4 linked regions of the Notamacropus eugenii genome follow. The protein of the gene in region 4 purifies or fractionates together with the protein of the main gene of each other region. This does not show direct contact. Links are inferred from orthologs where the notes say so. Each region holds a gene or a part of one and is shown on either strand. Other genes may lie near its edges.

Region 1 (8,377 bases), about 230 Mb from region 4:
AATTTTAACATATGGAAAATATCCCAAAAATATCTCCCACTAATAAAAGAATATCTATTTTAACACATGAATGATGAACGGAAAAGCAATGAAGTTATGATGAACAAGAGAAAAAATAGTTCTGCAACTTTATATCTGAAGTGTACAAAACCCAAAAAATTGCACAGGAGCAAGCAGAAACTAAAGACTGTCAAATGCAATTTCAAGCAAGACGAAAATTCTGACCCTTAGCTTGCAGAGCGACGTGTTCTATTCCCCAGTTAATCCTGTGAGGTCAATTCTTTGTGGTCTTTCTCCTCTTCTCAGCTTTCATACCAATATAAAATTACTTGTAAAAGGGATTCTTTCTATAAATTATTCTCAGTAGACAATGGTTCCTTTACTTACAAAACCTTATAAGTAAAGACAACAAAATTTACCAGCCTCCTTAAAAAACAACACTTTGCAGTACTCCCTTTTAGGCATATTAATAGTTATAGTAAAATATATTTGTGAACTTATCTACTCATCTAGTATACCTACAGGCTAAAAGATGACTGACCAACAACAGCTAAATTGGGAAGACAATTTTAATATTGTTACTTTCTTTCTCCTTAATGGTAAAAGTAAAATATTCTTTTTTCTGAAGGATACATTTTGAGTATATGCCTGTGGTCCAAGTTTCAGGGCCCAAGTTCTAGTTCTATAACTAACTACTTTGTATCAAATTTCCAATCTTTGTACCAAAAATAACCATTCTAACTGACTAATATAGTTGGCCCTGGGAAATTAGAATGAAACTAAATCAAAAGTTATTACCATCACCAAATAACATTTGCCACTATTTACTAGTAATAGTGTCCTTCCATTCCAAGTATAACCTGGCTTTTGATTCCTATTCAATTTCACAACACAGCAAATGACTCTACTGTATTCTTCTTCAAAAGTGTCCCCAGAGGATTGTAAAATCATAAAATCACACACCCGCCCACAATATGTGATTTTGGGTGTTACTACTTGAAATGCTATGTTTAAAATAAGGTTAAGAACATATTCAAAATAATTTCAAGATGATCACAATTTAAAGATGGCAAAGTATCCTTTCACTTCTTTATAATAACCTATTTAATTTTATCATATGGAAGATATATCATACAACTCTGAGGCCACTGTAAACATACACAGACAAATGAATAAAAAGCACTATTTTGATTAGATTCTCTTGGCAATAGATAGTACTTCTATATGTAATTTAAATATCAACTACTGAAGGAATGTTTGATTTGTTGACAGGGAGGATCAAATTCATTAAAATGTAGAAACGCTTTTTTACAATCCATCATGATTTCAAAATAATTATGAGATCCAGAAATAAAGAAGGTTGTGAATGAGTCAAAAAGCTGGAATTAGAGCACATTAATCTATAGGTCCAGATAATATCTATACTGGGAAATCAGAAAACTAATAAATGATTGTAATATTGCTGTTGTTTTTAAAGGGTATTTCTGTGGAAATAGCTAACAGAATATCAGATTTTCAAAAAAAGAAAGAACTATCTTGAACATTACAAAATAAATAATCCTACAAATGTAAAACCATATCCATTGATTGCAGAATATAAACATATCATACATTCAGAAAATGGTGAATTAGATCAGGATCTCACACAGTGAGCTGCTACAAAAATATGGTGCAAAAAAATGCAATTTTCTGTTCAATTAAACCAAATACCAACCTGTAGTAGTTGGTAGAATTTCTGAGATTCAACAGTGAGAGTGGGCAGGATAAACAATGATCTGCTTGCAAATACCTATGTTTTTAAGTCATAAAATCTTCATTTTCCTTGATACACCTGTTCTCTCTAGGTTACATGACACTACTCTACCCAGGTTCTCCAACTACCTTCCAGATCCTTTTCAGTCTCCTGGGCCAGGTCACTCCCACTCACTCACCAGGGCTCCACCTTGGGCACTCTTCTTTTTTCCCCCAAAACTATTTCACTAGGTGATCTCATCAGCTCCTATGGTTTTAATTATCATCTCCACAGTGATAATTCTCAGATCTATTTATTGAGCCCTAACGTTTCTTCAAATGTGTAGACTTGAATCTCCAACTGCCTATTAGACATCTTGAACTAGATGTCCCATACATATAATTAGACTCAGCATGTCCAAAACTGAACTTGTTATCTTCCCCCAAAATTTACCAATTATTGTTGAAGGAACCTACATCATCCCAGTCATTCAAGCTTTTAAGCAAGGAATCATCCCTGACTCCTCACTCTTATCCCCCATATCCAATTTGTTGCTAAGGTCTGTTGATCTCACCTTAGTAATATCTCCAGAATAATGCTTCGCTTCCTTATCTCTGACAATTCAACCACCCAGGTCCAGATCCTTATCACATTAACATCTGAACTACTTCAATAGCCTGAACCTGGCCAAATGTCCCTCACCACTGCAATCCAGTCCTCCATTCAGTAGTCAAATTAATCTTTCTAAAATACAAGTCTAACTATGTCACTATACACTAAGTAATAAACACCAGTAGCTCCCATATTACCATCAGGGTTAAATGTAAAATTCTCTATTTGGCTTTTAAAACTCTTCACAACCTAGCTGCCTCCTGCCTTTCCAGTCTTCTTATACCAATCTCCCTCCCATGTACTCTGTAATTCAGTGACAATGACCTCCTTGCTGTTTCTTTCAAGACACTCCATCTCCTAACCAGGCTTTTTCACTGGCTATTCCTCTTACATGGAATGATCTTCTTCAAGTCTCAGTTAAATTCCCATCTTCTATGAGGAGCTTTTCTGTATTATTTCCAATTTATCCTATATATATTGTTTGTATCTGATTGTTTTCAGTGTCTCCCTAATAACACTGTGAATTCCTTGAGAGCAGGGACTGTCTTTGGCCATTCTTTGTATCCTCAATGATTACCACAGCCTGATACTTGATGGGGTAATGAATTCAGCACCAGTCAGGAAGACCTAAGTTCAAAACTTGCCTTGGACACCTAATAGCTATGTGGCCCTGGGAAATCCACTTAATTTGTTTGCCTCAGTTTCCTCATCTGTAACAACACTTACCTCCCAGTTGCTGAGAGGATGAAATTGAGATAATTGTAAAGCATTGAGCATGATGCCTGATATGAACTAATAGCTATATAGATGTTAGCTATTATTATTAAAAGATTATTTTTCAATAAATATTGAGATCACTTGACAAAATCACAATTAAAAAAGGAAGCATTAAAGTTATCTGTACAGAACTAAAGGATGTGAATACGTAAGAAAAAGGACTAGAAAAGTTTTCTCAAGACTTACAGTATATTTTACATACATTTCCATTCTCTTGGCAAAAAATAAAACATCACTATGGATATTTAAACGAAACTGTGAGAAACACATTTTAAAGGTATCCCATTTAGTTTAATGTCATTGAGGGCAAGGAAACCAGTGTTTTCTTTAAATATCACAAAACTCCCAGTATACAGAAGATCAAAAATTTCTGAATATTCAAGACAACTATGAACCTTTGACTCTGAAGTATTCAAAGTACAAGATTTTCTACAGGAAAGGATTTCATTCATTCTCATCATACACTCAATGAAGCTAAAGACAGATGATTTTACTCACTATTTTAACATGGAGTAGAAAGACAGATGACCTAGAGGGAAGATTGCTCTTTTCTGGGCTTCAATTTTCTCATATGTGTATGAGGGGTTTAGATTAAGTATATGTGGCGACACATGGCCTGGTGGAAAGTGCACTCAATCCAGATTTCAAAGAAAAAGACCCTGGGTTCAGATCCCAGTTGGACAAAAGTAACTTCACCTCATTGAGCCTTAGTTTCCATCATCGGAGGAATGAACAGCTGCACTACCTAGTTCATAAGACTATTGTGAAGAAAATGCTCTACAAATCTTAAAAGTGCTTCACAATTGCACATTACTCTTATTTCTAAGATCATTTCTAGCTCTAAGTCCTGTAAATTTACTTGAAAGAATCCTAGTCAGTGAAGAAGAACTGGGTAGCCCCAGCTTTACCACTCACTAATCCGATGTAGCCTTTAGACAATACCCTCCAGACCTCTCAGGGCCTCAGTTTTTCTACTGGCAAAATAAATGGGGAGTCTGGATTAGTTGCATCATAGAATTTAGAACTGGAGACGCCTTAGAGCATCCAGTCCAACCCTTCCATCATTTTACAGAAAAGGAAATAGAGGCCCAAAGAAGGGAAGAGGCCTGACCAAGATCATATAGAAAGTAAGTAGCAAAAATGAAGTTCGAACCCACGTCCTCGGACTCTAAATCTAGTGACTTAACATCCTGTTACCTGTCTTTAAGATTCTTTCCGGCTCTCAATCTTGAATGCTTCCTTGCCCGCTCCAGCGGCTCCCCACCTGCAGGAGCTTCGGCTCCCCAGAACCCTCCTTCCCTTCTCCTCTCGCACCCTGGGTACCTCTTCCCTCCGCCCATTCCACTGCGCCCCCGGCAAGCCCCACCCCGCCCCCCAGTCTCCCTCCCTCGGCTTCCCCAGCGGCCCCTCCCCCGGGCCGGCTCGGGCCGCTCCCCTCCCTGACGGGAGCCCCTCCAGTCTCCCCTTCCGCCCTCCTTCTTCCCTTGTAGATTCCCGCAAACCAGGCGGCCGGGCCCCCGTGACTGACTTTTCGTGGTCTCCGATGGGACGGAGCCACGGTCTGCAGCGCGGCGACTCCTTTGTGACAGCTCCGGACGGGCGATAAAGATGGACGCGCAGCCCCGGCACTGCCATTCCGCGTTGAGCCCTCCCCCGCTCCGTAACGCCCAGGTCCACCTTCCCTCCCGTCCCCTAGGAAACACCCACCTCACTCCCCGTTGGCCTGTTCCAGAGTCAACCAATCCGTATCCAGGCAGCATGATCAGGTGACCCGCCTCTCTCTTTGCCCCTCCCTCACCATAGCTAGCCAATGCTCACGCTAAAACGTGGAAAGTCCAATCAGATTGCCTGGGCTCTAGGTTGTTGTATGGAAGAGCCGAGCTCCCATTGCTCACTCCGCGGCAGCCGGGGAGGAAGAGCGAAAAAGATAGGCCAATCTACCTTGGGGAAGGCGGGTCCTACGGCGGACGAAAGGGAGCGGAAGCCCTGAAGGGTCAAAAATATTCAAAAAGCAAAGGCGAGGAAAAGCCAGGCCTTGGCGGCGGTTGAAGAGGGTGGTCGCTGCTGAGTGGTCTCGGTGGAAGTGTGCAGGTAGGTGAGCGTGGCCGGGACGTGAGGCGGAAAGGCCTGCACCCCAAGCCTCTTTTTACAGTGCTGAGTCTCGCGTGGGAAGGGACGGCTTTAGTGTTGTTGAGACGGAGGGACTGGGGCTTAGGGGGCGGGGAGGGGGGTAAACCGTGACCGGGGGCTCCTGAGGAGACGCGGGAACCCACCCCGGCCTGGCGGGGTGCGTGACAGGGCAGGGACGGAGGCAGGCCTCCCTGAGTGTCTTCCCTCTGCGGGTTCCGCTGTCTGGTCCGACAGTCGGGTCCCAAGTGAGGGTGACTGCCTGAGTGAGGAGGGGGCCCCGAGGAGCTCCGGGGAGGGGTCCAAGGGGTCACGGTGCTGCGAGAATGCGGTGGAGCCGCCTGCCTGAGGGGACCAGAGCCCTCGATGTGCCTCCCAAAGACCCAGACTGGCTCCAGACTTGGCCCTGGGCCTTGCGAGCGGAGTCCTGGTCCGTGAGTGCAGCCAGGGATTAGCAAGCATTTACCCCAGAGACCCGAACCCAGGCCTGCAAAGGCAGGAGCTTCTGTGGAGGCCTGGTGCAGGAGCGCTGGACACCTGTATAGCAGCAAGCCAGGGAAGGAGTCATAAGTACGAAGAAGAGATAACAGGTTGGGGGTGGGGAGCAGGGGCCAAGTGGCATTTGAGCTGGACCTTCTAGAAGAGACTTCAGCAGATGGGGGTGGGGATGTCAGTCAGTAAACATCCTTAAGGACTTGCCATGTGCATTGTGCAAAGTGCTGGAGATCCGAAGAAAAGCACATGACGATACCTGCTCTCAAGAAGCTTCATGTTCTGATGGGGAGACAAAAGGCAAACAACTTTGTTCAAACAAGCTATTTACAGAATAAACTGGAAGTAACAGATGGCAGGCATTAGAGTTAGGAAAGGATGGAGAGGGAAATTCCATTCCAGGACTAGGAGAACGGTTTAAGTAAAAGAACTGAGATGGAAAAGGATAGGGAGGATGGAACCTAGAGCAAAGGAGAGTTAGTTGTATGAGAAAAGGCTGGATAAAGGTAGGCTGGATCCAGACTGTAGAGGGTCTTGAATGCTTGGATTTAGAGTAGGAAGTAAATGCCAGGGCAAATTACTTTTTTTTCCATGCTTGATGATAAATGTTATTTTTTTCAGTTATGACCACCGCCCCACTCCCATCCGCCCCAAGGAAAAGGAAGAGCAACCCCCTTGTAACAAATAAGCATAGCTGAGAAAAATAGATTTCCATAATGATCGTGTCCAAAAATGTCTCATTTTTCATATTCAACCCATCACCTTTCTTTCAGGAGGTGGATAGCATTCCTCATCATTGGTCGTCTGGAATCATAATTGATCATTGCATTGGTCATAGTTCTAAAGTTTTTCAAAATTGTTTCTTTTTATAATATTTTATAGGGTATTGATCTTGTTCTGTTCACTGTGCTCTGCCTCTTGGTCTACGCACATTTTCCCAGGTTTCTCTTACTTAGCATAGCATATTCCATTACTTTCATGTACCATAATTTATTTGGCCATTCTGTAATTAATGGGTACCCCCTTAGTTTTCAGTTCTTTGCTACCCCAAAGAGAACTACTGGAAATATTTCTGTACATATAGGACCTTTTCCTCTTTGATCTCCTTGGGGTATAAGCCTAGTATTGCTGGGTCAAAGAGTATATACATTTTAGCAATTGGGGGGGTGGGGCATGGTTCCAAATTGCTTTCCAGACACTATTTCACAACTTCACCAACAGTGCATCATTGTGCCTGTTTAACCATAGCCCTTAAAACATTTGTAATTTTCGTTTTTTGTCCACTTTGTCTGATGGGAGTGAGGTACAACCTCAAGATTTGCTTTAATATACATTTCTCTAATTATTAATGATTTGGAGTATTTTTTTCATGACTTTAGAAGCTTGAATTTCTTTCTTTGAGGACTTCCAGGGTAAGTTACTTAATTCAACCTCCTATAAAGCTCAGTTTGCACATCTATAAAATTAGGCTAAATCTCATAGACATATAAAGAAAGCACTTTGTAAGACTATAAAGTGTGATTCAATTATTAACCTTGGCTTGTATTAAGTAAAAGGATGAAGTAGAAAAGAAGACTTAAAAAGTATTTGCCTGGAAATCCAAAAGACCTTTTAAGTTTAAGGGTTTAAGTCCTGCATCTGGACCATATACTAGCTATGTGATCATTTAACTTTTCCATTCCCTAAACAATTAACTCACTAAAACTTTAAGTTGCAGAAACAGTTATTGATAAAGGGAATTTTCTTACTTGCAGTTACCTACGCTTCTGAAACCACTCATTTCAACTTCATAACAGCTTTGTAATGTAGATTATATGGCATTATGTTCATTTCACAGATGGGGAACTGAGGCTCGGAGGGTCAGTGATTTGCCCAGGGTTACACTACTAAGTTTTAGAAGTAGGTCTTTCTGACAAAATCTAGAATACCTTCTTTACACTACACCCCCCTGCTTTCCACCTATCTTTACAACTAAGCTTGGGAGATTCTTAGAGGAAAACACATCCTAATGTAGAGGCTCCATAAACTGTAGATATGGTGGTCAGAAGTCATAATTTATATTTCCATGTTTGATACAGATTAAATGTATTAAAGTTTTTTGCTCTCTTGAGTTTTGTCTACTAGTGTGGAGAGGTAGGGCAATAAAGTAGATACAGAAAGAGCTTGCTTAAAGTTTTTATTAAGCCTTTTAAAATCTTGGAAGGAAAGGTGCGGTGTAAGTGAAGACTGAATTGTCTTGGGCACAGGACTTAGAACTCAAATGTAGGCAGTTTTTGTAGTCTTCCAAATTGAGCCTTTTAGAGCAAGACCCTGAAGCGGAGACTGACTTTTTATGAGTTTGAAGCCTAAGATCTTCCTCCTCTTACTTGTTTGAGAGGAAGAGGGCTATGGCAAATAAGTAGAATTTCAAAGATAATAAGCAAGCTGCAAGTCAAGAAAGTTTTAAAATTTCAGCCATTGATTTGTCCTTGCCAGGAATCATATTTTAACATCATGCTGCTTGCACAAATCAAAGTTTAAACTAAACTCTGCCATGTGAAGTAGTAATTTGGTACGGAGTGCTCTGCTGCATTATTTAGCCCTAGTCTTTCGCACATTTGTGCCTTTGTGACCTCTTACTCAGCTGCTTCAATATGT
Region 2 (7,849 bases), on a different chromosome or scaffold from region 4:
AAAGTTACCTCAAGTCATGTCATCATCTGGATGTCAGGGTCCTCTTTGAGAAAGAAGGACAAACACAAGCTGTGCATCCAAGTATATTGATGAGATCAAGTGAGAGAGTATAGAGTAAAAAATGGGATTAGGATAGCCTTGGAAGACATTCACAACTAGTGAATGTGATGTTGAAGATCTAACAAAGGACACAGAGAAGTGCTCAGAGAGGCAGAGAGAGATCAAGGGAAGGTTTTGACCAAAAAACCCAAAACAACCCAAAACAACCCAAAACACTCAGTATCCAAGTTGCATGCGGGGGAGGGGAGGCAAGACTAACAAAATTTGTGGAGATGTCAAGCAGGGTGAAGACTGAGAAAAAACAATTCAATTGGCAATTTATGAGATTGTTGGTAATTTTAGAGAAAGTAATTTCAGTTGAATGATGAGTTTGGAAGCTAGATTAGAGGAAAGGAAGTGGAGGAACTGGGGCTAGACAGCCTTTTCAAGTTTAGCTTAGAAGGGGAGGGGAGATACAGGATGACAGATTGCAAAGATAGTAAGGCGTAGTGAAGGGTTTTGAAGGATGAGGAAGATCTGGGAATGTTTGTAGGTGGCATAAAAGGAACTATTAGATAATATTAGATATTAATATAATACTAATATTAGATATTAGATAGACTACATTAGATATACTACAGATACCTATCTAAGTGCCTTCTGGCCATTTTACCTGAAGATACAATAAAAACAAATACAAAAAACTTTTATTAAGCCTTTACTTCATGTAAAGCACTGTGCTAGGTGCTGCAGGTGATTAAAAGTTTAGATACATCATGGTCCCTCCACTCAAGGAGGTATAAAAGGTAAGGGTATAAAATACCAGCACAAAGTTATAATGCACAAAAATAAAAAATTGTTGAGCCAAACATAATGTCCAACAGGAGGAGCTCAGCAAAGGTTTGCTGAATTCCTAATGTCACTTTTGTTAGAAACATGCTGAAACTCAAGTATCAAGGAAAATTTATTAAAGAAGAATCCAGAGGAATTGGATGTTTCTGGCCAGAAGCGGGCTCCACCCTTTTCCAGGAACAGGGAATGCTGAATCTGAAGGGAGAGAAGTTTTATACTGTTAATTCAGAACAAAATCCTCCCATCAGAGGACAGATTGTTCTGTTCTCTTTCAGGTCACAATTTTCCAGACATGCCCACTGTATGTTTTCCCCTAAGCATGTGTAGGCATGTACCCCTCCCTCATCATATGTTCCACGATCAGAAAATGGAGGGATAATTTTGTGTGAGGTGTGTCTGCTTATATGCATGAGGTTTATTAAGCATGCACTATGAAGAAAAGCTTTCTCATGGTCACTGACCCCAACAGGTTTAAACTAGTTTCAGGCTGGGCCCCATTATCAGAAACTTTTTGGTTAGGCTAGCTTCTTCCCCTGAGAGCTGATTGGTTGGTAGTGCTTGTTATCTTACATTACCTTGAAACTGCAACATTTTGTGGAATCCTAACTTATATAAGAATGACTTGTCTTTCTCACACTTTAAGCTCAATAGGCTCTTCCTCCTAACCTTATTTCTATGTGATGACTAGGATAGAGAACCTAGTCACCTAAATTCAAAATGTCATAACTTTATATTTCCTTGAAACCAATTAATGAGTTTCATTGGTTCCTCTACAATATTTCCTATATCTGTTTTTTACTGCACTGCCTTTGGACTTCTTCCCCATACCCTAGGAAGCTCATAATTGGATTAACCTCATCATCATGTTAAGATTTCATCAGCTTTGACATTCCCCTTCATCACTATCCTCTGCCTCTCTGATTGGAGGGTAGGACCATGAATTCCAAACCTCCATTTAACGGGAGACCTCAGCCTAGCTATTTCATTTCTAGCTTGAGACTTCCCTGGTTGACTTCTCCACCACACCTCCATGTTGGATAGTTGCCCCCACCCCATTCAGATTCCTTTTGTGTGTCCTCTTCCTCTTTAGGATTTTAAGTTCCCAGAAGGTAGGGACTTTATTTTTTCATATTTGTTTCCCCAGCTCTTAGCAGGGTGCCAGGCATAATGTTTATTGACTATTCACTTTTAATCCCCACTAACATTCTAATTTTTCCTTATCTTATGCATTATTGTATAGCCTTATAACTCACTTCCATTCTTCGAATCTTTCTACTGCTCCAATCCATCCTTTACGCTACCACTAGTTTTATCTTCCTGGAGACCTTCACCATCTACAGTAGAGTTCTTCTATTTGAAATAACTTTTAACATTTACAAGGCACTTTAAGGTTTGCAAGGTACTTTATGTCTTATTTCATTTGACCTTCACAACAACCCTGTGAGATGAATGCTATTATCTTCATTTTACAGAAGAAACTGAGGCTGATGAGGTTTAAGTGACTTGCCCAGGGGCACCTAGCTAATGTCTGAGGCAGGGTTTGAATTCAGATGTTCTTGACTCCAACTCCATCTTTCTATCTGCTGCACCACTTTTATGTGGGCCATTCTCTAGCCGACTTGTGAGTATCTTTGGCAAGCATAGGTCTTCTTGTTCTATACTCTGATACTAAAAGGATTGTTGAAAAGTTATTTCTGTGGTTGTATTTATCATAGTCTTGTACAATAATATATGCATAGGGGACATATTGGAGGAGAGGGCTACATTTTGCTGTCTGGAATCACTTTTTAAAAAATAAATAATTGGCAAATAAGCTCAATGACACAATTTTATATTTTCTATTACTTCTGTCAGCGGTGCCTGAAGATGTAGGTCTGGTGTAGAAAATACACAAAAAGCTGGTGTTCCCTTTTCATGTTTTTACTCCTAGTAGCCTTGTTGTGCGTCCATGTACTAAAGAAAGTAGAAATTCTCCTTAAGCATTGTTGAGCCCTTAAGCAGAACACTGCCACATATGAAAGATTACAAACTAATTGTTGTAGAACTTACACTCTAGTTGAAGGAAACCACACATACACAGAATTTACAAAGTGTGGCAGCAGCCTTTACCAACTGTTAAAAGGATAGGAGGGCGTGCAGTAAGGAAGTCATCACAAAATGGTCCTCAGAAGTCTTCTAGCCCACATCCCTCATGTGGGATGAACATTTCAGAGATAGGAAGTGACAGTCGGATTTTGCCTCCAGGTCCTGACTCCAAATCCAGGCCTCCTTCCACTGAACCGCACGGATGGTAAGGGTGCAGCCTGGTGCGGGGGCTGATTCTGAAACAAGGGATGCACGCGGGGCGTGTGTCATCATCATACTATTAGTGATAATGACAGCTCTCAGTCCCATGGCACTAGTGAGGCCGGCCAGCAGCACTTTCCGTATGTTCTCTTATTCGATCCTCACGGTCCTGTCAGCGGTCAGCGGGGCGCGGTCATTGTCTCTACGATGCAGAAGGCAGGAGTGAAGCCGACAGAGATAAAGGGACCGGCCCAGGGGACACGGTGACCAACTGTCCGGGGCCAGGTCGCGGGTCCTTCTCGACTCCAAGGCCAACGCTCTCCTTGGCACCATTCACCAGACGGGGCGTCAGCCGCGGCAGAGATGGTGACCTGGAGCGCACAGCCCCACCGGCCTTGTCCTGGCTGGCGCGTGGTGCACCTGGAGACCCGGACGCGCGCGGACAGCACAGGATGCTGGCGTTTGGCGATGGAAGGACTTTGGAAATCGCCCATCGCATTCAGGGGCTTTTAACCTTTTTTGTGTGCTAGGGTTCCTTTGGCAGTCTGGGGTTTTTAGATTCATAAAATACGGAGGATTACCAAAGAAACCAGAAGTTAGTGAAAATAAAGACGTAACGACCGGGGGGAGGGGAGGAAGAGCAAGGGAGGGAGGTGGCCCCCGGCTGGTAGGAGAATCGATCCCGGCGCCGAGACGCAGCCCCGGGGACCCCACGTGGAAGCGGCGCCGCAGGGACCCCAGGCTCGAGATGTCAGGAGGAGGAAAGGTCTCCGTCCAAGACCAAAAAGCACCGGCTTCTAGAGGCCCGCACCCCCGGGAGGCCCCGGGAATTCAATGGCAGAACACACCGCTTCCTTTCGCGCTTCTTCGGTTTCTGGCCGGGGAGGGCCACTTCCGGTACCAGGGGGCTCCGAAAGGCGGGGAGCACGGCTTGCGGCGGCCCCGGCGGAAGTGCGCTAAAGGACCAGTGTCGCTGCTTCCGGTCCGGGTTGAGCGGTTCTCCTGCTGGAAGGCTCTGTGGTTTGCGGGAGCCGGCTGGGGCTGGAGCATCCCGGAGCTAGGGGGGAGGGAGAGAGCGAGGTGGAGAGAACACGCGGGCTCCCAGGCTGATTCGGGGACAGCCCGATGGTGACGCCGGCCACCGATCGCAGGCACAGAAGACAGAGGGAACCCGAGCGCCACCAGGCTCCTGTTTCCAGGGGGGCAGCCTGCACGGGACACCCCCCGCCCCGGTAACGGCCGAGGAGGAGGAGGAGATGGCGCCGGCCAGGGAGCGGCCGTGGCCGAGGCAGTGAGAAGCAGCGAAGCCCGAGGAGCCTGCGCCCCCGCGTGTGAAGAGCAGGAGCCGGCGCCATGGAAGAGACGAAGCCGAGTTTGCAGCTGGTGTACCAGGCTGTGCAAGCGCTCTACCACGACCCGGACCCCAGCGGCAAGGAGCGCGCCTCGTTCTGGCTCGGGGAGCTGCAGCGATCGGTGAGCGGGGGCCGGGGCCGGCCGCGGGGGGCGGGGTGCCGGGTGCTGGAGAGGCCTGCGGCGGGGCCGGAGCCGGCTCGGCGGCCCCGGGGCCTCGTGCAGCCCGAGGGGAGGAGCTGCGGCGCGGGGCGGGGCGCGGCGGCCCAGCCGCGGCTGGTGGAAGTTTCTAAAGAGAAGGGGCAGCCGCCAGCCCGGGGACCCTTCCCCTCCAGGGGCTGCAGAGTCTTGGGCCTGGAGCCCCCTGGGAGCTGAGGCCTTCCCGGGTTCCCGCTCTTCCACTGCCCCGAAGGGACCGGCCGCCCGGTCCCCTGCTGGTCCCTGTCCCATCTCCGTCCCTGTCCAGCACGCCCACTCCTTTCTTTTCTCCGCGTTCCGGTGTCGCAGCCTGGGATTCTTTCCCATCCATTTGCACCCGCGCCCCCATCCTCATTTTCATCCATTAATAGCTCTAAACACCTCTCAGCTCTTTTAGGTCTTTGCATCTGCCAGTTTTGCCCCCTTGTTGTATTCCTTTGCCACCTCCTTGTCTTTTAACTCCGTGTTGGGACTTACTCTTTCTTCCTCACGATCCCCCTTAACTTATGTTGTATAATATCTTTTTTTTCTGAAATGTGGGGAAAACTTTTTAATTCTACTGGAGCCATGAAATTGTTTTTTAACAAATGTGAAAATGCTTTGAAAATGAAAGGATATTGCACTGTATTTGCTTGTCTTTCAAGCACAAATCCTTTTCTGATTTCTGTTGACAACCCTTCTCTTCCCCCCTCCCTCAATTCCTTCCTTTGCTGATTTTTGTACTGTGCCCTTTAAAGCTAACTTGTTTGAGGTCTTAGTGCGTACGAGTTCCGTTTATTTTGGTCAGCTTGCAACTTTGCATTTGAAATAGGGTGGGTGGTTTATTTTTGTATGTTCCTTTGTTTCCAATTCTTGGCTTGCCTGATTTCAAGTAATGAGAAATTTTTATAAGATAGATATTATTACTTGATAATCATAACACAGTTTCTGTGGTCTGGAGAGGGAGAAAAGCCTTTTTGTGGTGCTTTGTTTTAGAGTTTCCTAGCGGTAGTTATTTTTGTAAGATAGATTAAAATTACTTTCATTTTTATAGGAGGGAAGTGCTTGGTTCGAACAGGAAAAAGTGATTTGTTAATTAAAAGGGACTTTCTCAAGGTATATTTCCCAAGCTGTTTCAGTAGTATGTAACAAACTTGAAGTTTGGTCCTAGCACAGTTAGGTTTTTATTCTCTTTGGAGGACAGAGCTTACTTAAACGTTAGTTGTGCTATGAGACCTGTGTCAAGAAGAAACTTTTTAATTTTTTTGTAGAACATAATTTTTTTTCTCCTCACAATCTCAATATGCAGTTGTAATTCCAGCGATCTCTGCCAATTGGTCTCCTTGACAAGCTCAATATGAAGCAGTAGTTAATAGTGGTACAATTTAGATACAGTTGAGCACATTCTGGAATAGGATGCATTCCTTGTGTTGCATATATCAACATCTTTTTCTCCCCCCACCCCCCTTCATTCTTAGAAACATCCTGCTGCAGAGATTATTAGAATTGATGACTTGGAAATTTTCTAAAGGAAGAGAAAACTATATTTCTCTGGTTTGGAGGCTGACTTTTATAGCAATCCTACCTAGCAAGGGTCTGTTATATGGCAGGACTCTATTAAATATGGTGGGAGGGAGATGCCCTAATTTAACTCAGCTAACTCAAACTCTGGGGGGAAGCATTGAATGAAAAGTCATCCCTTCGTTGGATATGTGGAATAACCTAAGTTGTTGAAGACAATAATTTAAATCAAGAAGAAGGGAAGTGTATTTTATAGACTGGAAAACTGTGATAGTTTTGACTGGAATAAGAGCAAATCTGGTTGCTGTACTGTGCACCACGGAAGCAGATGAGCCAGGATAACCTTGGGACAATGATAATTGATTTGGCCTAGATTCTTGGGAATTTTTTTTCCCCATAATAAATGAGGCAGGCTGTGGGATATGTACTCTAGTACTTTTCCTCTTTGGAATTCCCAGTTCCCTGAAATTCTTCTGAAACATCAGGGTTTTCTTTTCCTTTTCCTTTTCAGTCATTGGTTTGACTTGGTAATTTATTCTGAAGACTAGACATTTATTTGGTGTTTTTAAGCTGTCAATCAACATTGCCAGTCAGCTGTCAAACTGTCAATGAACCACATTGACTCCTATCATGTGCAGACATTGCTCAAGGATGAAGATGTGGAGTCCAAAAGAAAGGGCGTCTTTGCCTTCAAGGAGCTTGAGTGTTTTTGGAGAAGACACCATGTATGCACATAAGTAAATACAAAATAACACGTGATATAAACATAAGACAGTGGTGGCACTATGTTTGTGGGTGAAGGCACTGGAAGCTTTGGGAAATGGGGCAAGGCTCCATGTTGGAAGTGGCACTTGGACTGAGCTAAGAAATAAGCTAGAATTGATCTGAGGCTTGGTGGAGGTGAGGAGGCATGGAGAGTCTGTGAAATTACATATGATAGGGGAAGCATCAGGTATGAGAGAGCAGCCGGAGGGCTAGTTTGGGTATGTGAAGTTTGAGAAAGGAAGGAATGGATCAGTTTGGAAAGGTAGGGTAGAACCTTCTAGCGAAGGACTTTCAACATTCAACTTTGATTTTAGAGGTAATAGGGAGCCACTGGAACTTTTTGAGCTGGACAGTGACGTGTTCAGACTCGTGCTTTATGAGTATCATTTTGGTAGCTTTAAGGAGTATGGATTGGAAAGTGGAGAGACTTGAAGATGGGAGATAGCTTAGACCATTGCAATAGAACAGATGAAAGTGACAAGGGCCTGAACTAGGGGAGGGGTTTTACACATGACCAAACAAGACAGATTTGAAAATACTAGACTATTTAAGAGGAGGCTATTTCTGCTAGTGTGCTCTCTCTTTATTGATATGTTTAGGAAGGTCTGAAAGAAAGCTTTGCATATACGAATAAGTCACTGCATTCTAGTTCTTTGTAAAAGAAGTGCTAATATTTATATGATGCTTTAAGGTTAGCAAAGAGCTTTACATACATATACATATATATATATACGTATATATATATATATATTCTTATTTGATTCTCATAACAGTCCTTCAGAATAGGTGCTATTCTTATTTTATAAATGAGGCAACTGATAGGTGAAGTGCCTCACCCAAGGTCATAAACCTAATGAAG
Region 3 (8,006 bases), on a different chromosome or scaffold from region 4:
TTCAGCTGGAACTTACTGGACAAGGGAATTTCCAGTGCTGGTGTAGATGGCACATGAAGAACAATAAAATGTATGTGCCATGCTGCTTTGGGCTATCTTTTGGCTTTTGCAAGACTTTCTAAACAGTTTTAAAAACTACAATATTCACCTCTTCCTTTTCTCTTAGGGTTTCCTTCACAGAAACTCAGTATTTACAGCATTCTCAAATGGAGTTGAGTAGAAAAACCACATTTCTCAATGAACACTAATTGACCTAAATATAGAAAATGTTTTAATGACACTATAAGGAGAGCTACTTTTTATATTACTTCTAGGGACATTCTCTTTTCCAAGAACCTTAAGTCAAAGAATTGCATCATCAATAAAAGCCAATCAATTGTCAACTGATCCAACCATTCTGAAGAGCTATTTAGAACTATGTCCAAAAGGCTATAAAACTGTTTCTACCCTTTGACCCAGCAATACCACTATTCAGTCTGTACCCCAAAGAGATCAAATAAAAAGAAAAAGGATCTATATGTACCAAAAAATTTTATAGCAGCTCTTGTTTGTGGTGGCAAATATCTGGAAATTGAGGGGATGCCCATCAATTGTGGAATAGCCAAACAAGTTGTGGTATATGATTGTAATGGGCTACTATTATACAATATATATCACAGAGGATGCTTTCAGAAAAACCTGGACTTAACATAAATTGATGCAAATTGAAGTGAGCAGAACCGGAACATTATATATCAGTAACAGTAATATCGTAAGATGATCAACTGTGAATGACTTAACTATTTTGATCAATACAATAATACAAGACAATTCCAAAGGACTTTAATGATGAAAAGTGCCATCTACCTTCAGAGAAAGAAGTGGAGTTTGAATGCAGATCTAAGTATATTTTGTTTCTTTTTGGGTTCATCTGTAACATGGCCAATTTGGAAATATGTTTCATACAAATTCACATGCATAATCTACGTCAAAGAGAGGGGAGGGAGAGAATTTGGAACTAAAAATTAAAAAATAAATTTTAAACAGTTTTACATGTAACAGGAAAAAATAAAATACAGTAAAAAAACAATATTCTCCATTAAAAATATGGAAAATTGATTTTCAGTTCTCCTTTGGTAAGTTAAACCTTTACTAAATATGTAATGAGAATATAAACTACAATTCTTCAAAACCTCTTTTAAGACAAATTTTTTCAAAATGTGCTTCAGAAAGAGATATGACAGAAGTAATGAGCTGATTTGTTTTACCTTACTATTCTTATTTGTTAGGAGAAAGCTTTTATTGGAGAAAGTTGGTAGTGACAGACAGGTTGGAGGGAGGGAGAAAGGGAGGGAAAGAAGGGAGGAAGGGAAATAATTTTTTAAATGCGCCAGAGAGCAGAGACACAGACTAGCAAGACAGTTTTGTTACTCTCACATTAAGTTTAAAACACACTTTAAAAAGGTGAATGCAACCTAGGTTTAGTATCATATATATCCTTCTTTTCTGTTCTTCTCTGTATGTTGAAATCTGCTAATGTTTGTCAGGTTCTTATTAAGAAACAAAATTTTAGCAATAAATATTTTACAAAAATCTCTCAATGGAGCTTTAATAGCATATTGTAATAACCAATAAAAGTGTAGTGAGTTCCAACACCCTATTTTCCCAATACCTGTTAGGACAACTGAATACAGGAAAATTTTCTCCTGAATAAAAGCTGACTTTAATGTAAATGCAGAAAATGAGCTTAAAAGATGATTGATAGTGAGGTCTCCAGATAAATTAATATCACATCTACCTTATCAGGATTAAGATGAAAATATTGAGCATAAAATATGACTAAATTATAAAAGCACCATCTTATTTTCACAGAATCCTTTTCCCAGTTTTTTCAAATCATAACACGCTAATTTTCACAACTAAAACCAAGTTTACATGACAGTTTGTCCTCTCTATTCTGAAAAAAAGGATCTGCTGAGATTCGGGGACTTTAGCGATCACAAATACCCATCCTTTAAAGAAAACTTTTTCCTCAATGCTCAGCTTGCATGACAATTTGCAATATGATTAGGTCACCTTGAATTCTCCTCTGAAGAGCACTCCAAAAGCACTCAACATTTTTTTTTCCAAAAATCTGGACATGGTGAGGTTTTCTCTTAGCCAAGAGACATCAATTAAAAACCATCTCAAAACTTTACACTCCTAAATCACCTTGTGCTGCAGCCTCACAAAGAGCACGTGACTACGTGGATTTTCAATACCCCCAAGTCCTTTCCTGGGTCCCTGAAGACGACTGTCCTAAGTGTCGATAATTCCTGCTGGCCCGTAATCCCCCTTCTTTTCTTCCAACCCAATCCCCGGAAGGCACTGGTCCCCGTCCCCTAGCAGTATTTCTTGGCCGCTCTAAGACCTGGCAGCACGAACATTTCCGTGCCAGTGTTCTTCCCCTGACCCAAATGACAGTTGCCAGGGTGTGCAGCAGTAATGCAGTGTTCTTGGGGAGACTCCGAGGGCACACTTTTCCACCCAATGATAATAATCCGCCCCCCTCTTCCCAATCCCTTCCACTCTCCAAGATGCCCAAGGCGGCCTGATACCCCCGAGCCAGGCAATTCCCAACAGGTAAGGGAGGGTGGTTTCTGATGAGGAGTTTTCTCTTCCTTCTCCCCCACCCCCACCCAGAACGACTTCATCCTACCCAACTGACATCTCCCCCCCGAGATTCATGCTTTGCAACTGGGGAAATTAAGTTAAAAATAAGATCAAACCAAATAAATCCGTTCGTCGGGACAACTTGGCAGAGACTCGCCCCGCCCGCAGCCGCAGGGCCGGCGGGGCTGCCCAAGGACGCGCGTGTTTCTGGAGGCCAATTAGCGGCCCCACACCGACCACAACAACAACAGTCACGGGCCGGCGGAGGGGGAGGGGGGTGGGGAACGCTCCCCGCCCCCACCCGAAACGCTCCTGCCAGGCCCGGCCCCACGCCTGCACAGCGGACCCGTTTTCCAGGTAAGGATATGGAAACTGTAGGAAAATCAAGAATTTTTCTGGGAGGGCAAGGCATTAGGAAGGACACCCCCCTCCCTTTTTTTTCTCGGCCCGCCTTCCCCTGCCCGCTCCGAGGAAGGGGGGCCCGGGAGGGAGCCCCCGTACTCACACCGACGCGGGCCCTCGCCTGCGGGCCGGGAAGGGGAGGGAGCCCGGGGCGCGGCGGAGGGGTAGCGGCCTCGCCTCAGGCTGGGGCGCCAGGCAGCCGGGGGCGGGAGGACAGAGCGCCGGCTCCGAGGCCTCACGGGGGAAGTCCCGGAGGACCCGGCATGGCCGCCTCCGGGAGTCGGCGTGCTGGGAAGGGAACCTGGGGCTCGGACGGCGCCGGCTCCGGGGCCGCTGTTTACCTGGAAGTCACGGTCCTCGTTGAAGCGGGAGAAGCGATCCGCCATCTTGCCGCCGTGTAGCTCCTCTCCGGACGACGACGACGACGAATACGACGCAGGCTCGCTCGCTCCCGCGCTCGCTCCTCCCACCGCCCCTTTCCCTCTTCCCAGCCTCCTCCCACGCCTGCAGGGCGCGCGCTGCAGCGAGAGCGAGCTCGCGGGCTCCCGTCGCGGCGGCACCGCCCGGAAACGAGGCCGAGGAGCTCCGGGGCCGCAGTCTGGCCTCCCCAGCCCGGGGCCGCCGGAGCCCGCTGCGCATGCGCAGTCGCGTTCAGGCGCGATCATTGCCCCTGGAGGGACGGAGCGGAGGGGCAGAGCGGGAGCCGGCCCGGAGAGGTCCGTGCCTTCTTTTGTGCGTGTGCGCGTGCGTCCGTGCGTGCGTGTGTCCGCGGCTGCACACAGCCCAAGCGTCTCCGAGGTGTCAGTGCGGCTCTGCCCTATTGAAGACGAGCTGTTTGAAATTTCCCGTGTTGTTTCTGTATTCAGTCTCATGGCTGTGATACAGCCTAGTGGATAACTAAAATAAATGGCTTTAAACCGCACTTGTGGGACCTCGCCTCTGCGTCTGTAACCTCGAAAGCCTGAGGAAGCTAGGAAGGTTCAGTAGAACGCGATTATCTATGACACGTTGTTGTAATATTGTATGGTGCGTTATGCAGATATTAAAGACACTCGTATTCCGGTATTAAATATATTGGCGTCATATATTAAACCATAATTTAATAACAGATGGCTTACAGCGCACTAAGATCTGGAGGAGGTCACACATACGTATATATGCACGTGTCCCCAAAGCCTTATTGTCGTTTTAAGCTGGTGAAGCTTAATAATAAATTATTATTTATACTGTGTTATCATAATATTGGGTAATACATTATACACTAAATACACTCATATAGCCTGTATTAAACATATGGATTGTTGTTGTGTTTGCCCTTCGTTCTCGAAATGAACCAGGACATCAAGGTGATGACATGACTTGCAGTTGACTCTGGTCTGAGGGAGGGAGGGCTGTGCAGTCACCAGCCTCACTTCTCCTCCTGAGCCATCTGGGTCCAGTGGCCTGACATTCACCAGGACAGCTGGACATGGCCCAGGAAGCACTGGGAGACCCTGGCCCTTTCAGGCTAAGATCATACCACGTTCTCCCTTTGAGTGAGATGCACCCATTGAATGAATAGGTTTCCTGAAGTTACTCAAGGGATGGCCCCTTTAATAAAAAAAAATCAAACTGGGAGAAGACCCTCAGGGTTCTGGGTTAAAAGAGAAACAATTACTACCTAGTTATTACATCCACTCTGTGCTGCTGGGTGAGTGGGGACTTGTTGTCCAGTCTGTGAGCTCCAGAGCGAATTGGGTTTAAGGCTTGATCTTTGAGCAAGAAATGTAGCCAGTAAACCCAAAGGAAAAAAGGCAGCTTTTGGCATTGGTCTAATTATATTGGGTAGGAAAGAACTGAAAGCCAGCCTAAAATACAAATGTATTTTAATGTAAAATACATTTAATGCAGATATATCAACAAGAAAAAACAATTCTGAATTGAAGATATGATCCAAAGATAGCAGAAAATGTCAGAGCAGAATCACCAGAAAGCCCAATCTCTTCCATCCTCCCTGAGGCATCAGATCGCAGCAGGACCTTGGACAACAGTCCCAGGAGAGGAAGGGAGGCCACACCAAAGCTGCCTTCACTCAGAGTTTGTGCTCCCTCCTGCAGACATCTCCTTAAAGGGCCCGTAGTCACCTCCATGCCCCAAGAGGAGGGCACTCTGGAAGGACTCAGGGGATAGAGGTGAAATTAGAGAGAAAAATCATCTCCTTATGAACATGCGATATTATATATTAAACAATAAGTTAATAACAAATGGCTTAAACTACACTAAGATTTTTGAGGATATCACATATACATATATGTATCTATATATAGAGAGAGATATAGATATACAGATATACAGACACATATATGTATGTACGGTGTCCCAAAAGCCTAAGGGTAGTTTTAAGCTTGTAAAGCTTAATAATAAATTGCTATTTTTATAACATATAATATATATTAAAGTAATGTTAAATATGTTGTGTAGATATTAAATACTAGTATGTATTTTATATTAAATACATTAAAATACATTAATGTATTGTGTATTAAATATATTTATGTAATAAATATATTGAATAATAAGTTAACAAATAGCTTAAACTGTACCAAAACTTTTGGGACAGCTCCTATACGTTTACATTTACATATGAGACAGCTATGTAGTAGTGAATAAAGCCTGGATTTAGAGCATTTAAATCCAACCTCAGATGCTTGCTGTGTGCCCCTGTGCAAATCACTTCACTTCTGTCTGCCTGTTTCCTCCCTTATAAAATAGGAATAATACTAGCACCTATCTCTGAATGGTTGTTGTTATAAAAGGAGACAATACTTGTAAAGCTCTTTGGAAATGTTAAAGCCCTATGTAAATGTTTTGTTGTTCAGTCCTGTCTAATTCTTCAAGATTCCATTTGGGATTTGGGGGGCAAAAATACTGGAAGTTTGCCATTTCCTTCTTTAGTTCATTTTACTGATGAGGAAACTAAGGCAAACAGGTTTAAGTGACTTGCCTAAGGTCACACAGCCAGTAAGTATAAGAGGCCAGATTTGAACTCACAAAAGATTAGTCTTCATGATTCCATGACACATTCCATTGTGTCAACTAGCTACCCTATATGTAAATACTTGATCTTATCATGTAAAGAGTGCCCCAAAAGTGCAATTGTAAGCTTTAGTAGCTTAAAATAGCTTTGGGACATCCTGTATATATACCAATAAACATAAAAAAACTTGGAAGTTCTTTACCAGTCAGTACTACATCATCCATTAGTGAAACCATTGCTTGCAGCAAATAGAGAAATTTTGAATGCTATGGATAATTTCACTTATCTTGGCAGTATACTTTCCAGGGATGTACACATAGATTGATAAGGGTGTTGCACAAATTACTAGAGCTAACACAGTGTTTGGAGGCTCCAAAGGAAAATGTGAGAGAGAAGAGGAATTAGGTTGCCTACCAGACTGAGTCTACAGAGCCCTTGAGTTGACCTCATTGTTGTATGCTTGTGAAACCTGGACGGTCTACCAGTGCCATGCCAGACAACTGAATCACTCCCATTTGAATTATCTTAGGAATATTCTGAAGCTTGCCTGACAAGATAAGGTACTGGACACTGAAGTCCTTTCTAGAGTTGAACTGCCAAGTATTCAAATTCTACTGCAGAGAGCACAATTCCAGTGGGAAGGCCAAGTTGTTATCATGCCAGAAGTACCTTTGTCTAAAAGACTGGTTTATGGAGAGCTCACACAAGGCAAGCAGACCCTCACACATGGAGGTGAGAATAAAGAATATAAGCATGCTCTCAAGGTCTGTCTGAAGAACTTTGGAATCATTTGTGAAACATGGGAGACACTGGCACAGGGTCTCCCAGCATGTCGTGCTCACATCAAAGAAGGCGCTGTGCACTATGGGCAAAACAGATTTGCAGTAGCTCAGAAGAAATGTGAGATGCACAAATTTAGAGACAGTTTCACTCACAGTGTTCATATAGACTATTTTGTGCCTAACCTGTAGTAGAGCCTTCCAAGCTCATATTGTTGGTCTGATCAGCTGCAGTGTGACACACTGTACCTTGACCCCAATGTGCTGATGTCATCTTGGTCTTCTTCAAGAACAAAGAACAACCACCATGGTGTGTGTCTATGCCTGTAAGTAAATGTGTGCATATACATGTGTATGTATATGTAGATATAGGTATATACACATGTATGTATATATATATTTAAAACACCACCCCCTCTTTTCAGCTCCCTTTTGTCTTATCCTTCACCATTAGAATGTAAGTAAGCTTCTTGAGGTCAGGGACTGTTTTTGGTTGTTTTGCATCTTACTTAAGGAGGTGCCTGACACATGGTAAAGTACTTGCTTGCTTCCTTCCTTCCTTTCTTTCCCTCTGTGTCCTTAGGTCAAGAATTCTCTCTAGAGATGCAAAAGCTATCACTTTCTCCACTCTAATTTGTTTAGGATATGACTTTAAATATCCAGGTCATGTATCCATTTGAAGTTTTTTGTGGTATTTATGGTATGAGACGTTGGTCAGCCTAATTTCTGCCAGATTGCTTTTAAACTTTTGCTACACTTTTATATGTTGCCAGAGTAATTGGGGGGTCTTAACACTACTAGGCTTATATTGCAAAGAGATGACAGAAAAAGGGGAAAGACCCAGATCTACTAAAATATTTATAGCCACATATTTTTCTTGTACTAGAAAACTGCTAACTATAGAAGTCCCCATCACCTGGGAAATAGCTGAACCAATTATGGTAATATGAAGGTAATGGAATATTATTGTACCATAAGAAATTATTAAGAGAATGGTTTGGGGAAAACCTGGAAATAATGGTAATGACAGCATACATGATACATACCACTTTAAAGTTCAAAAAGTGCCCTATGTATGCTATCTCATTTGATGAGAAGACCTGTAACAAATTCATGGAGAGTGAAGTGAGTAGAACCCGGAGAACAACTTATATGAAAACAGCCACTATACCCTTTGA
Region 4 (7,980 bases):
CACCCAAAAGTCTCCTTAAATCTTAGCATCCAAAAGGAATTAATAATGAAAAATAATCATACATATATATGTGTATACACACAGAGAGTATGTGAGTTTGTGTGTGTGTATGTATATTCCTTTCGAAGAGATTTCATTTTAGAGGTAAAAACCTGGTTAGGGGTAGTCTTATTCAGAGGAATACAGAATTTTAAAACTCACTTCCAAAAAAGTGGGTGGAAAGCTGCCCATGGCTCGATCTGACATGAAAGATTTCCAGGTTCACCTCCCTCCAAAAGTCTGCTAGCCTTAAGGCCCATTTCTCAGACTCATTAACACCCCAGGAGGGCCCAACAGATTAAAATACCAAGTTTCTGAGGTGAGCTATGGAATAGAACAGCTTTTAAAAGTACTTCCAAACCTGCTCTAGTTTTCCTACCGCATGCTGAGGAATGGGAAAAGTCAAACCAAGTCCAGATGCCACGCTGTTAAGATGCCAGCTGTCTGTTCAGAGGTACTCAGGGCACAGCCTTCTTGTCAGTTTTCACATGTTGCTGGCATTAGGAAAACTGGGCCAACGAGAACATCTAGCTGAGCCACGGCTAGCACCTGCCCTCTCCCCTCCCCCAGGATCCCCACAGTTATGCTGGAGGGCTGCTGGTGCCACTACTGCTGGCACTTCATCTCCCCCCATCTCTCAAATCCACACCACAGAGGTTGAACATTTTTCTTTTCAAGGGCACTGGAAAACGGGCCAGAGGAAGGAAGATGAAAGGCAGCCAATTCTGCTTTGCCAAAGGGGTTGTCTCTATAAAGTCCTACCCCAGTTCTGCTCTACCCAGGCTGAGTGAGGGGGAGGTCAAACCACATAGTCAAAGGTGAGAAAAGCGGCAAAGCAAAAGATATGAGGTGTTCATACCCCAAGTAAGAAAACACCAGGTTCAAGTCCCGGGCTGCAGCCTCAAGTATCTCTTTCATTTTCAGGACTGGAATTATCACAACAAAAACACTGCTCTTTTCCTCAGCCCAGGACCCAGCTGGGGCCCAGCTGTGAATACTTATCTTACTTTGGGGACTCCCCAGCCTTGCTTTCCTGGAATAGCTGAGATACCTTCACCGGGGTTCTGCAGCATATCTTTCTGTGGGTCACCCCGCCCCCCAACCCACAGTCTCAGTTTCCACGGGCTGCCATACGGTACCAGGCCAGAGCAAGGGGGTGGGCGTGGCGGCATAAGGGAGACCAAGCCAAACATCTGCCGGAGCCCCGGGCACACCTGGCAGTGGGCTCAGCAGGCTAACAACTTGGGTGGGGGGGCCAGCCTGAGGAAAGGGGCACTGGGGAGCGCGGATCTTTCCCACACGTTAATTTCGGAAGGAAGAGGGAAGGTATAATTGTATTTCCAGGGTGAAATGTATCTAGTGGGTGGGATTCCAGGGGCCGCGATATTGGCAAAGGGGCGGGGCATTTTAGCCCGGGTGGCCCATCTGGGAAGGGTGGGGGGGGGCGGTGACGGAGGTGGGGGGGATGGGGGGCAGGGAGGCGAGGCCCCGCATTGATCCGGACGGAGCTCGGATTTTAGGAGGGGGAGGAAGGATTAGGGGCAGAAGAGGGTGGGGATTTTAGGAGAAAACGGAGATTTTCAAAGATAAGTGGACCGGGTTTAGGGCATCCACAATGGGGGAGGGGAGACTTCAGCTGGAGCCACCTTGGGCATGTCCATGGGGGGAGACACGGGGGGAATTAATTTTAAGAGTTTTAGCAGGGGGGCTTGGCCATTTAGGGCGGGGGGCTTTTAAGAGCCTGGGGGGATTTAAGGGGGAGAAAGGAAGGAGTTAACGGCAAATGTTATGGGGGAGTCTAAGGTGGAAGCCTGACGGGGTCAGGGAGTGGGGGAGTAAGGGCGGGGGAGAATCTTGAGGGCGGGGGGCGACTTTAATAGCGGGGCGGATTTGGGTGGAGAAGGGAATGGGGGTGACGGGCAGCGGAGGGAGGACTTTTAAGAACGGAAGGCGACTTCCAGAGGGTGGGACTTTTAGGGCGCGGGAGGGCTTTAAAGGTCGTGGTCTCCCGCCGCCCCCAGGCCCGAGCCGAGGTCCTCGGGAGGGTAGTGTCGAGGTGGGGTCGGAGGGCCCAATAGGGGTTGGCGGGGTCAGGGGTGAGAGGTCAGGAGTAAGGGAGGGCGCCCAAAGGGGGAGGAGCCGCGGCCTCCCGCCATCCCCGCTCGCAACCCACGCACCAGGCCGGAGGGAAGGGCGGAGGAGGGGAAGGGGATGCCGATGACGGCGGGAGGGGGGTGCTCTCACCGTCTCCCGGGCGCTCCAGCTCCAGCTAGGCCCCGCTCCCAGCTCCTGGCGCCTCTTCCGCTTCCGGCTCCGGGCTGCGGCCTCCGCCCGCGGCGGCCCCGCCCCTCCCCTGCCCTGGGCTCCCCTCCCCCCGCCGCAGCTGCGGCCCCGCCCCGCCGGGCCCTGCGTGCCGCCGAGGCCCCGCCCCCTCCGTCCCTTCGTTCGGGCCCCCGAGGCCCCGCCCTCTAATTTCCTGGCCCGCCCTGCGTGCCGACGCCACGGCCCGGTACACACCCCCTCTCGCCTCCTCCCCGCCCCCGCCCCCGCCCCTAGAGTGGCTCCGCAGCGCTTCTTCGCCGCCGCTCTAGGCTGGCATTCGTTGTTCCTGGAGGACTGGCCGGTCCTCCGGCGGCCCGGCTCCCCAAACGTCCGCTCCTGGGCCCACCTCCGTGGCCCTCCCCTCCCCACGTGGCGACATACCTGAGCGGGACTGCGATCCCCACCTGCAGGATCCCCCCAGACACCCCCCAGACCTGGTTGGGTTGTGTGTGACTCATAGCGATTGGAGCCCTTCCCTGCCCTGCCACACAAAGACCCCCCAAGAGGCTTCCGAAGCCACCTCCTTACTAGTTTAAAAGGAATCAGTCCCTTCTTGGGTCGTCAGTCTCCTGGTTGAATACCTGCAAGGATGGGGAGCTCACCATCTCTCAGGGCAGCTGGCTGCACCCACGGAGACAATTGGGGAGCCCTGGGCACCTGCCTGTGCTTCTGCCAAGCCTCTGACTCTTAAGCCTGCTAGGTAAGGCTGCCTCGGGGCCGCCGTTCGGGGACCTCTCCAGACTGACCAGAAGAGGAAGCCAGTTCGGCTCTCTGTCCGGCCCTGAAGACTTGGGGAAACAAGTGGCCTCGCTAACTAAAGGCTCCCCAAGACCCATCCTAGCCCCACACAGGAAGCTAGTCTAGACCAACCCCTCAAGGAGGTGGAAACGGGGCCCAGAACTTTGCCCCGAGCTACACAGTTGCCACCACTCAGTCCTGACTCCAAGCCTAATGGCTCTTCCCACAGCACAACCACTACCTCTCACCAAATACTTGAAGCAGATAAAAGAAAGCACCTGGATTTCAACAAAGATCTCTATAGTTAATCTCTAGCTGAGCAGAACGCCCTCATGTGCCAGCCTGTCCGGTTCACCCACAGCCTTGGCATAACCCACTCCATACACTGATTACACGGGGCCACTTTGTGATGCTGCATTTTCCTACCAGTAGGAATTAGCCCCTCTCTCCTTGTTAGTCCTTCTCATCCTGAAGGACTCAGGCCAAGAAGCCCCAACCACCTTGTCCACAGTGGTGGCTGAGCATAAGAAAGGAGAGAAACACCAACCTTGCCAGGTGCCCCCATCTGGAACTGATCGGGGTGGGGAGAAAGGAGGAAGGATGTTTCCCCTGGTCCAGAAGAGGAGGTGAAAGGAGAAAAGAAATGTTAGAAACTGCTCTAGGCTTGAGGCTGATGTAAAGCCTTGGCCCCAAGAAGCTAAGCCCCCTTTCCTCTGCCACGAAACCCAAAGGCCTCTTACCACTGCCAGAGCAGCTAGCTGTGTGCCAGCTGGAGCCAGTCACCCCTTCATGGAACCTCAGCTGCTGTCTGAGAAATGGGGTTCTTTGTCTGACTGACTCCTCAAATAGGCTTCAGAATGCCAGGGCTTTTGAAAACACATGCAATACTAGCCAAGCCCTGGGTGATTATTCTGTCCTCTGAGTCACCAGCCTGTATCTCATCATCCTGTATGTGTGAGTAGATGAGTGCCTGTGTGTATCTCCCATCTCCAAGCCTTTGCAGAGGCAATCTGCTCTCATCTCTGTCTCTTGGAATCCTTTGTATCCTTTAGCAATCAGCCCAAATGTCCCCTTCCTTTTTCCTGACCCCTTCAGTTGTGGAGTCATTTCTTCCCATGACCCTTGTTTTATACTCTTGCATGGGCTTCACTTTGCTAAGATGATGCAGCAACTCCTGCTGATTCTTCACATATCACAGTGACTAGGGATTGTGCCAATGGGGAACTGTCACTAAGCATCTAGAGAGGGAGGGTCTTCTGGAGGAAACACCGTCCTCAACCGGCTGTAAGAACTGCAGAAAGGCTTCCATCTCCAGGTACCAGGTATTTTCCTGTGCTCTGACACCCTGACATGCTGTCTTTCTGAGGGAGCTGAGTCCTGCCCAGGGAAGAATTGCATCAGGGTGATTTAGTGAAAAAAATAATCCACAAAATTCTGGTCTAGAGATCAGAAGACCTAGATTTGAATCTTTATTCTACCCCTTAGTACGTACTTATCTTTGGTCAAAACCATTTCCTCATCTTTAAAATGGGTATAATAATCCCTGATCTAATTTAAAGGGCCATTCTCCCTTTGTTTTTTCTTATTAATAAGAATATATTTTCTCTCCCATCCCTACCTATTGAACAATAAAGAAAAAAATGCTTGTGATACATATGCAAAGTTAAACAAAACAAATTCCCACATTAGGGCCATGTCCAAAATGCATGTCTCATTCTATATTTCAAGTCCATCCCTTTCTCTGGCAAGATGTCAGGCTTCTTTTTCTGGAACTGCGTTGTCATCAGAGTTTTTAATGCTTGAAGGGCTATTATTTTTCTAAGGAGAGAAGGTGTGAAAATTTTGGTGAGCTGTAAGGCCCTATGCAAATGGCCTGTACAAACATTCCACCCCTCAGCAATAACATTATTTTTATTGTCATTCAAAAATTTGTATTTGGGTCCTGTTTGCCAGAGAGCCTGAGCTAGGAGTTATAAATAGATCTTGTCCCTCCCTTTGGGGGGCTAACAAGGCTGAAACAATGGGCCAGCACCCTTTGAGAGGCGACCTGCCAAGTCTTGATTTATTCATTCTCTCACTCAGAGTATATTTTGATGGGTAGGGAGCAAACAGAGAAGGGTGGTAGATTATGCTCCCCTTGCCTAGAGCACCCCTGCAATATGAAGCATAATGCCAAGAAGGGGAGCCAGGGGGCACTCTACAGAACGTTCAAGAAGTCAACAAGTGTTTAAGTGACTAATATTTGCCAGTCATTATGTTTGGGACTGGGAATACAGAAATAGAAAACAGGGTGACTGGATAGTTGGTGGTGTCCTTAGCAGAAACAGGGAAGTTTGGAGGAAGGATGGTTTGGGGAGTAATCTATAATGAGCTCCATTTTAGACACATAGAGTTTGAACTGATGGGCAGTGTAGCTATGGTCATCTTACAGTTCATAGATATACAGTTGAAAAGAACCTTAGACATCATTTAGTCCAACCCCCTTATTATAGAGATGAAAGAAACTGAGGCCTAGAGAATTAAAATGTGGTGACCAAGGTCACACAGATAGTAGGTGTAAGGATTTGAACCCGTCTTATAACTCCAGAGTCAATGTGCTCTCCACTATACCATTCTTCCTCCCCACTCTAGTTGGCAGTGTGGGACTGGGGCTCAAGAGAGACTTGAGGGCCAAGAGTTATTTGCATGGAGATAATAATTGAACCCATGGGAATAGATTGAGATCATCAAGAGGAAGAGGAAGAGTGTGTACAGAGAGTAGAGAAGAGAGCTGAAGGCAGAGCCTTCAAGGACACTGAAGCTTGTTGTTGGCAAACGGATGATATAGTACAACAAAGGCGATTAAGAAGGAGCCCTCAGACAGGTAGGAGGAAACAAATACAGCAGCCTCCCAAAAGCCAAGAAAGGAGAGAGAATTCAGGAAGAGGGGGAAGGAGTTGACAATGTCAAAAGCTGCAGAGGTTAAGTTAAATGAGAACTAGAGTTGGGGCTTAAAAGATCATTGGTATGACTGTAGCCATGCAAGTGTAGAGAACAACCAAAAAGATTTCTGGAATACTATGATCAATAACATTTCCAAAACATTGTGAAAAAATACACCTTTCTCCCTCTCTCCTTAGGATAGGTGAAGGACTGTGGGCATGGAACATATCTACTATCAAACTAGATTCCTGTATTGGTTAATTTTGATGAACTTTTTTTTTCTTTTTTACTCTTTGTTGCACAACCTATCTTTATGGAGAGGGGAGGAAGGGACATATTTGAAATAAAAGTGATGCTTTAAAAAATATCAATAAAATATGAAACATTTTTAGTTGAGTGACAGGATCTGAAATCAGATTACAAGGGGTTTGACAAGTGACTGGGAAATAAAAACGTAATTACAGCAAAGAATGTAACAATCTTTTCCTGGAACTTGGCTATGGAAGGGAGGAGAGATGGAGGAAGAAAGTTTGAGAGAATTAGAGGGTCAAGTGACAAAATTGTGAGAGTGGGATGGGAGGACCTGGGCATCATTGTAGGTGGCAGGGAAGGAGCCAATGGACCAGAGAGAGGGAATGATCAAGGTGGCAAGCTCCTAGTAGAGACTTGGAAAGAAGGAACCAAGAGCCAAAGTAGCAGAGACCTCTACTTCTCAGGAGAGAATAGAGAATGGGGTAAGGGGGTTATGAGCCATTGATGAGATGGAAACACAGAAGTCATGGTTAGTGGTTGGGTCCTTTGGGGAGGGGGGGAGGAAGAGAGGAAGGGGGGGGGGAGAGAGAGAGAGAGAGAGAGAGAGAGAGAGAGAGAGAGAGAGAGAGAGGAGTGGTTACTATGGATTTGAGAAAAGAAAAAGTTTGGAATAGTTGCTGCGATGAGCCTTAGAAGGAGGCAGTCATGAAAGAACAAAATAAATTGCATCACAACAGGTGGGATGCAATAAAGAATAGATAATATAAATTTTTAGCAGACCTGGTGGACATTGTAGTGTGACATTCTTCAGCAGGACACAAGAATGAGTGGAGATAGATGATGACAATAGTAACCTGGGGGTGGAATTTGTCAAGCTGTGACTGGCACTAACACAAAGGATCTCACAGGGTCGCAGGATTATAGATTTAGAGCTTACAAGTTTTCTGGTCTGAAAGAATTGAGGCTTACATCAGTTAAAGACTTGCCTAAGGTCATACAGAATCAAGATTTGAACCCAGGACCTCTAGTTCCAAATCCAGTATTCTTGTATCTATTTTGTACTATGTCAGAGACAGCAAGGCATAGTAGATCACTCACTTGCTTCAAAGTCAGGAAGACCTGAGTTCAAGGCATAGAAACTCTGGAAAAGTCACTTAACTTTCCAATGCTCTAGACCAGAGGTATTCAAACATGTGAGCCACTGATCCCAGGTAGCCCTAACACTCCTGAGTGTGGCTAGAGCCTGATTAAAATGTAATTAGGAAATATTCAATAAATAAAAAGTACCAATAATATTAGATTTTAAAGCTAAATCAATATGTGGCCTGCAGGGATCCTATATGGATCAGTGGTCCCTGGTTCTATTTGAGTTTGACACCATGGGTCTGTATCAGTGAGCACTCTGACATATGGGGTGGGGGGGTTCTTAGATCTGCATTTATAAAAGGAAAGGCAATTTGAGGGGTCAACAATCACTTTAATTAGTTCAACCAAATGCTTCGAGACACATCTTTTTATCTTTTACATTTCCAAAGCTACCACACCTCCTATCTATTCAACAAACAGAGAAAATACAGAGAAATAAAAACTGACAGGGCTCTTACTGCCTGAATCAAAGCAACACTGCTATACGCTTTACATACATTCCTAGATCCAGAGAGCTTTTACATCTAAGCAGTGGGAGTACGGGAGGGGGCGCTGAACATA

What was found.
Region 1: the proteins of CLK3 (region 4) and PSME3IP1 purify together in Homo sapiens (affinity purification with mass spectrometry; 3 studies listed by BioGRID and IntAct, counting the BioPlex papers as one, with this or other methods). This does not show direct contact. The link is inferred for Notamacropus eugenii from reciprocal best matches to the Homo sapiens genes CLK3 and PSME3IP1.
Region 2: the proteins of CLK3 (region 4) and TNPO3 purify together in Homo sapiens (affinity purification with mass spectrometry; 4 studies listed by BioGRID and IntAct, counting the BioPlex papers as one, with this or other methods). This does not show direct contact. The link is inferred for Notamacropus eugenii from reciprocal best matches to the Homo sapiens genes CLK3 and TNPO3.
Region 3: the proteins of CLK3 (region 4) and GPATCH8 purify together in Homo sapiens (affinity purification with mass spectrometry; 3 studies listed by BioGRID and IntAct, counting the BioPlex papers as one, with this or other methods). This does not show direct contact. The link is inferred for Notamacropus eugenii from reciprocal best matches to the Homo sapiens genes CLK3 and GPATCH8.

Annotation. Positions count from the first base shown.
Region 1 is NC_092872.1:474,788,854-474,797,230, reverse strand, and holds the start of PSME3IP1 (PSME3-interacting protein), read left to right. Parts: upstream 1-4,754; 5' UTR 4,755-5,212; intron 5,213-8,377. UniProt on the Homo sapiens protein: Promotes the association of the proteasome activator complex subunit PSME3 with the 20S proteasome and regulates its activity.
Region 2 is NC_092874.1:121,048,691-121,056,539, forward strand, and holds the start of TNPO3 (transportin-3), read left to right. Parts: upstream 1-4,144; 5' UTR 4,145-4,530; coding exon 4,531-4,650; intron 4,651-7,849. UniProt on the Homo sapiens protein: Importin, which transports target proteins into the nucleus. Specifically mediates the nuclear import of splicing factor serine/arginine (SR) proteins, such as RBM4, SFRS1 and SFRS2, by recognizing phosphorylated SR domains.
Region 3 is NC_092873.1:349,476,059-349,484,064, reverse strand, and holds the start of GPATCH8 (G patch domain-containing protein 8), read right to left. Parts: upstream 3,778-8,006; 5' UTR 3,699-3,777; coding exon 3,375-3,698; intron 2,989-3,374; exon of another isoform or gene 2,898-2,988; intron 1-2,897.
Region 4 is NC_092872.1:241,552,587-241,560,566, forward strand, and holds the start of CLK3 (dual specificity protein kinase CLK3), read right to left. Parts: upstream 3,237-7,980; 5' UTR 2,967-3,236; coding exon 2,943-2,966; intron 2,390-2,942; exon of another isoform or gene 2,284-2,389; intron 1-2,283. UniProt on the Homo sapiens protein: Dual specificity kinase acting on both serine/threonine and tyrosine-containing substrates. Phosphorylates serine- and arginine-rich (SR) proteins of the spliceosomal complex.